2 linked regions of the Arabidopsis thaliana genome follow. The protein of the gene in region 1 interacts with the protein of each later gene in a pairwise test. Each region holds a gene or a part of one and is shown on either strand. Other genes may lie near its edges.

Region 1 (3,756 bases):
CAAGGAAATCCACCACACAGCACACCACCACTTATTGTCTTTTAAATGTGTAGTAAGCACTAAACATATATGTATACGGGGAACAGAAACTAACAGACATATACTGATTCAAGACTTGCATACCATTGGGTTAATGCGAGTCAGAATAATATTCTTCTCTTGCAACCTTATCAGAGGGCGAACAAGAGGCTGATGGTTGTCAGACAAGGCAGGAACAATTTCAGATTGCACCTTTATCACCTCCCCGTTTTCAACAACCTGGTCACTTTCAATATATTGCTTCAATAGATTTTTGTCATCTTGATAACGCTTCATCTCAGCCACTATAACGGCAAGGCGTTGAGGGTCCATCTCGTTGTTTATTCTCCGCTGAAACCCGTCAATCTTATCCTCAAATGAGCGCATGGTATTCGCCACTACAAGGGTTTCATCAAGATCAAAGACAATACCCAGACATCTAAGATTCAACATAACAAGACAGGAATCGTAAATTCCAGGAGCAACACTAAATGCCCAGAAACAAGGACGGTCATTCTTGATATTTTCCGAGTACATAGCAACCAAATGGAGCTCTTCTCCACCCAAGAGCATTACTGCTGTCTGCAAGAAGCAAAAATCCAAAACTCACAAATATGAGGACAATTTGTAACATAACAAACAACACAAGATTCAAACCCCCACTCTACTAAAAGTTTCTAAAGCCCCAAACTTGATGCAGCTCTGACATTAAGGAAGTTAAATAATGACACAAAATCCTATTTATCATTAAGTGTTTTTGAGTTTTAGTTGATAAAATCTAAGTCTGAGTAAGGCTTAAAGGTTCGTAAGGTTTAGATACCTTGTTGTCCCTGAGACAGGACGAGTAGAATAAACTGAGTGACTCCTGAGCTGGAGAAGGTGAAGCTTCTAATTTGAAACAAAGGCCACAAGATGAAATTGTAGTAAGTATTGCAAGAGGAGGACACCTCTCGCCAGATTGAGAAAAGTGGCTTATTCTGATTCCCATCTTGGCTAGCTCCATTACTTCCCTCTGTTTCTTCTTCCTCTGCTTCATCACATCATCTTGTTGCTGATTCAATTCCCTTGAAGGGTATATCTCCAATTCTCCAAGTCTTCCATCACCATGAAACACTTCTACTCTATTATTACTATACATACTTTCTTTTCTCCTTCTCCTTCTTAAAGTTTACAGATCAATGGATGTCTATTGTCTCATCTCAAAATTGGTTCATCAAAATCTAAACTTTTTGTTGTCCCTTGGCCAGAATTGATAGATTGATCACCAGTCCACACTAGTTTATGAATTGGATCCGAGTTTTTTTCTTTAGCAAGAATCAGGAAAACAAAAGGAAGATTTTTGATAAATGGGTAAATAAGAGAAAGAATGAAAATTTAGTGTTTGTTCCTTAAGATTTTGTTCCCTTTGAATATAGATCTGTAAAATACCGATGATGAATCCACAAAAAAAAACCCTAGTTTCTTTCTTCTTCCTTGGTTGATGATGAGTTTGTTTGTGTATCTGGGAAAAGTTTATTAGGTTTTGTGGCGTTCTAAAAATCGAGAGAAACCCTAGATCCAGATAACGAAGAGTCAAGATTGTGAATACGGCATTATGCCTTTGTCCTTGGTTTTTTTAAGGGAAAACAAAACACGAAGGGCCCCTTCATTTTCTTTAACCGTTCTTTTTTTTATTTATGTCTTATTTTAAAAACAATTAATACTATTTTTAAAAATTAATAAAAGCCTGAAATAGTTTTTATCAGCTCAAAACCTGTCAAATTCTGTTTTTTTTTCGATTCATACCGTACTTGTAATGTACTTTTATACTTGTGTTTCTGATCTCATGTTTTGATTTTTACAGTGTCAAGGATTCATATACCACAAGATATTTATAGTTCATCTAATTCTTTTTTTTTAGAAGATTATTTATTCAAAAGACATGATATTTTTGACATATACTTGTCTCTTTATTTGTGAAATATTTTTTATCTACCAAGCATGAATATTTTTTCACATATATCTTTCCCCTACTCTTTTCAATCTTTTCCTTATAAAATAATAGTTTAGTAAATAAAAAATGATTTATTTTGTTTTCTAAAATACACAACTACGTAAAGATAATTTTTTTTTATAGACAGTATTTTTTTCCTTGTTTAAAAATAACCGTTACGTACAAAAGCCGTTACAAAATTCTTTCCTAATGTCTTTTTTTTCCGTGTTCTTTCCTAATGTCTTATGAAAACAATTTTGAAACTAAAAAGGCACAATGTATATTGTTCTAATTGCATAATAAACAACCGATAACATACACCGGGAGTCGTGCTCACATTAATAAAATCTCAAAGTGAATAAAAATTACCTCAATTCATGTAAAAACTAAATTTTTACGAATAATAAACTAAAACATTTAAATTTTATTAAAAGTTTTGTTGTTAGTCAGAGAATTTTATTTAAATCTCAAATACCCACATATATACAATTTTGATACTTATAACTTTCTTCAAAATTTCAAGACATTGTGTAAACTGTAATTTTATAATTTTAAAAGTTCAATAGAACATTTTTACGAATAATGTAGAGTTAACTCGTGCCAACATTTATAGTAGTGTTTGAATATTGTTCCATACATTTCCTTTGAAATTTTCTATTAGTTACTAGTAGATGGTCTTCTACAAAACAATTCTTACACTCGAAGAAAAATATAAAGTGTTGGGCCTATTGGCAGATATATTCGTCTTCTACTTATATGGGCCTTATGCCAAACCGGAAATAGAATCAGAGAGAATTTCAGCAAACCGACTCTTGTTCATATACGTATATCCTCGATTTCCGTCGTTCTTCCTTCTCCTCTCAATCTCTCTTTTCACATCACCGATTCAGAGAGAACACCGAATATGACCGCCGATTCAACCGTCGCACTCGTTCATAGCGTCGTTTCTAACGGTGATGTCTCCAACGGAAACACCTCCGCTTCCTCTAAGAAATCTCGTGAGATTGACCGTCGCCGCCGCAGACGGAAGCAGAAGAAGAACAACAAAGCATCCCAAGCCGATGTAGATGCATCGGACGTTTCTGCTGCTTCTGAATCCAAAGAGAATACAGATCCCCAGCCACAGGTTAACTTTGTGCTCATCTTCTCGTACTCGATTCATGGAGAGGTGTTCTAGGGTTTTTCTTAGGGTTTGTGATTGTTTATCGTTTGCTGATGATTTTTGGTATATGTTTCTCTTTGATAGGTTTGTGAGCAGATTGTGATAGAGTATGTTCCAGAGCAAGCTGAATTTGAAGATGGTTTTAACGATGAGTTTAAGGAAATCTTCGAGAAGTTCAACTTCCGCGAACCTCTTGCCTCTGAAGAAGACGGTACGAAAGATGAGTCTGAGGAGAAAGAAGATGTCAAAAAGAAGGTTAACTCTGATTCTGATTCAGACGACGACGAGCAGGATAATCAGAACAAAGAGAAAGGCATCTCTAATAAGAAGAAAAAGGTATAGCTCAAACCTTATTATTACCTCTCAATTTGTTTTATTGCATTCTTTAGATTCTGAATATTCTGAATTTCTGTTTCCTCAGCTTCAACGGAGAATGAAGATTGCTGAGCTGAAGCAGGTTTCCGCTAGGCCTGATGTTGTTGAGGTATGGATGCTTCTCTATTGTGTTCATAGTACCAAGGTTTATCTCGTTGTGTAGATATCTATTGTATATTCATAAGTTCTGTTTTACAATTTTCAGGTCTGGGACGCGACTTCAGCAGAT
Region 2 (3,756 bases), on another chromosome or scaffold:
ATGCTGTGATGCTATATATATAAAAAAAATGTTTTTGTTCTCAAGTTGCCGTGTCTGTTCTATTCTATGCGATCAGCAATTTTCTTTATGGTGATCTCCAAGATACATGTGTGTAGTGTATGCGGTTATGTCATTTAGGCTTCGACTGATATTAAGAAAAAAGAACAAGAAAATTGTAGGTACTGTATAAAGTTTTTACAGAGAAAAAAAGAAGAAGCAAACAATGATGACCCAAAAGCGAAATAGAATGTTACGGCTTTTAAACTCTGTGGCTGATGAAGCAAAGAGCAAAAGGTGAAGCGTAAAGGTGAGGTTAAGTAGGGCAAATCACATGGGAGGAACAAAAAAGGTAACAAAGTAATGTCTGCTAGTTGTTTTTTTACACCGTTTCTCGTTTGATAAAGCGGATATGAAATAATTTCATAAAGGGATATTTCGTACCTTTTCAATTATCCCCACATCAACTTCTCTGTCTATTGTCTACAGATATAAAGGGAGATATGAATAAGCATATATGGTTGGCTTCGTTTTTACTATGACTGAGGATGGTGAGAATTTATAGCCAATCAATTTTCTAAAAAGCAAATCATGTTATGGATTTTAAATATTCAATATAGGAATGATTCAAGTGTAAACATGGGACCTTATTGATAACAAACATAAGCAACCAAAGATAAAATACATACGTATTTTCAAATATACCACATAATCCATGAAATTCGATTTAGAGATCCCGATTTAGAGATCCATACATCTGCATGGTTTATAGGTTTCATGTACAACTAAAGCAAAATAAGCTGAAAGATGATTTTGGAGTAAAGAGCGTTTACTCTCCATAGTAGTAAATGTTGAATGTCTCTTTTGGTGTTCCAGTTTTCCAAACTTTAGCTAAATCTTAAATGATCATATTAACTTTCTAGTGGCATCCCAAAATGGCTGGCACGGGCCTGCGAGTAGATTAGTTGATAGTAATAGGAATTCTATCCAATAATTGATAAATCTCCAGATGACAATCAAACTTGAATATATAAACTATCAGAGATAGGTTCAATAAGAAAAAAAAAGTTGTGTGTAAGGACCCTGATGAGACAAGAGAGTGATCATAAGAAAGAGTTTTAAGTTATAACTGTTGAAAACTTCCATATCTCGATGCTTTGAATATTGATGTACTGTATATGACAAGATATCCTATCATTAATGAAATTCTTTCAGGTAAAGTGAAAAGTGAATTTCAATTCATGAAAAAGGAGAAATGGCTAATGTTAAGTAAAAATTATGAGGTTCATTAACCATAAAGGGTTGCACCAAATGGTGACCAAACCGCATAGTGTGATACGGTTCAAATAGTAACGAAAATATCTATATATATGTGTATATGTATATATTTTCGTTTAGAACCGTACCACACTTTATCCGCAGTTGAACCGCAAGTCACCATTAGCAAAAATATAGTTGCGTATTACTTAAAACCATTTTGTCAAAATACATTAAAGGTTTTTGGTTGCCCGAAACATGTATATTTTTATTTTAACCGAGGCCAAGAGTGATTTCTACGATGGCTTGATAGATCTATAAAATATACCAAAAGAAACCGAATCCTAATTACCATTGATTTCGAAATAAACAAGAACTGGTTTCCTAATTACCATTGAATTTTATTTTGGATTTATATATAGAGAAGATCTTCTTCAACAAAGACATTACACATATGCGGTGTATCTCGCAATAACTATAGAGAATCCTCTAAAATTGATAGATAATTGATATACAAGATGCCACTTTGAATTAATTACACAGAGATCTCTTCATCCACTTTTTGTAGAAAAAATCGGTGGCATAAACAAAACACTCAAAAAAAATCACAACCATAAAAGAAAACATTTGATTTCTTCCTCTTATCCTCAAATTCTCATAAAGTGTACAGTACACAATTCAACATTAAAAGTCGGAAGTATTTTTATCTAAAATTAGTACTACATATTGTAGTTTTTTTTAAGAAGCTAATCAAACATGTTTTAGATTGTTAGATCACACAAATAATTGTGTAGACTCATGACGACTATGACTTGACCAGTGATACAGCAAAGTAGGTTCCAAAGAGTCAGAAATCTCCTTTAATATTTTTTTTGAGGAACAAAGAAAAATATTCATTATTAAGAATTGAATTATGGGAAACACTTAAATGGTGAGAAAGAAAAATACTGAAGTCTCTCAAAGTTCCTAAAGCTTTTGGCAATATGATAATGGCGTGATACCTTTTTCTCTCCTCTCAACAAACGCGCCTCTAATCTCTCAATCTTCTCCAACTCCAATTTCTTGCAATTCACTCCAACTTCTTCTTCATCTTCTTCTTCTCTCTCTCTCTGAGATTCTAGATTTCGTTTCTCACGTTTTCTTCACCAAATATGGGAACCTGCTTCTCCAGCTCAACTAAATCCACGGCTGAGATCTCTCCCTTTGACCTCGTCGTCAAACCTCCTCCTCCTTCCGCCGCCGCCACCGCACCACCAACCCAACGAATCCCCACCGCGAAAACAGAAACATCGACGGTGAGCTTCACCGCAACAGTGAGATTATACGGACCACCTAACAGTCTAGTGACGTCGTATCTCCGTTTCGCTCTTCTCCACAAGAAAGTTCCGCTCCGTTTCGTTCCATCGGAAGACCAAAAACCGACGATTCAAGTCGGATCGGAGACTGTATCAGGTTCTCGAGAGGTTCTTCTCCGTTACATCGAGGATAAGTTCCCAGAGCCGCGTTTGATGATTTGGAAGTTTAATCTGGAAGGCTTCGACGAAGCGACTCCATTGATAGTGAAGATGATTTGGCTTCAGCATAGGAGTATGTTGTGGCATATGGAGAGGATGTTGAGATGGTCGGAGGATCTGGCGGCGCGTGGAGGTAAAAAAGCGGTGGATCCGTCTGTGGGAACACCGAAGATGGAGATTAGGAAATTTGCAAAGAGTTATACTCATTTACAGGAGCTTATGCTCGAACATGCTCAAATGGAAGAGAGAATCTTGTTCCCTGTTCTTGAATCTGTTGATCGAGGTAATTAAAGAGAATTGTTTAGGTTTAGGGAATGAATTTGATTATTGTTGTCAAATGTTGAAATTTTGATTTCTGTGAATTTGTGTGTAGGGATGTGTAAAAGTGCAAATGAAGAACATGGGAGAGAATTACCAATGATGAATGGTATCAAAGAAGATATCAAATCTATTGGAGTTTTGGATTCTGGGATTTGTTCAGAAGCTCTCTTTAGTCTTGCTTCTCGTTTCAAATCATTGCAGGTAAAGTTAAAATAACAATAACAAAAAGCTTCACTTTTGTCTGTTTTTGTAATGATTGAGGTTTTTGTTTTTGAACATAGATGATGTGTAAAACACATTTTGAAGAGGAAGAGAAAGATTTATTGCCAATGGTGGAAGCTGCAGAAATGGGGAAAGAGAAGCAGAAGAAATTGATGAATCAAAGCTTAGAAGTTATGAGTGGGACTCATTCTAACTCGTTTGATTTCCTACTAGAAGGTCTCACTCCACAAGAAGCTATGCAGTATATTGACTTGCTCATGACATTTGGTGATCCAAATCTTATCTCATCTTTTCTCTGCTCTGATGTTGTTGACTGATTTTATCCTTTTTAGGCTCACTTTGTGAAAAACTGTTGTTGTGTGTGGGGTTGTGAATTTTGTGTATATAGAGTCAGATTTGTCGATTCAGGTGTTGCTATGTTTTCTCATTCTGTTAAATTAAAAAC

The links.
Region 2: the proteins of CPL1 (region 1) and AT3G54290 interact in a two-hybrid assay, tested with the Arabidopsis thaliana proteins (one study listed by BioGRID).

What each region holds. Positions count from the first base shown.
Region 1 is NC_003075.7:11,508,911-11,512,666, reverse strand, and holds the start of CPL1 (C-terminal domain phosphatase-like 1), read right to left. Parts: upstream 1,679-3,756; 5' UTR 1,157-1,678; coding exon 839-1,156; intron 601-838; coding exon 124-600; intron 1-123. Other genes in the region: AT4G21660 (proline-rich spliceosome-associated (PSP) family protein), read left to right, coding at 2,895-3,116, 3,237-3,488, 3,574-3,636, 3,733-3,756. UniProt on the Arabidopsis thaliana protein: Processively dephosphorylates 'Ser-5' but not 'Ser-2' of the heptad repeats YSPTSPS in the C-terminal domain of the largest RNA polymerase II subunit (RPB1). This promotes the activity of RNA polymerase II.
Region 2 is NC_003074.8:20,104,495-20,108,250, reverse strand, and holds the start of AT3G54290 (hemerythrin HHE cation-binding domain protein), read left to right. Parts: upstream 1-2,035; 5' UTR 2,036-2,405; coding exon 2,406-3,051; intron 3,052-3,141; coding exon 3,142-3,290; intron 3,291-3,370; coding exon 3,371-3,628; 3' UTR 3,629-3,756.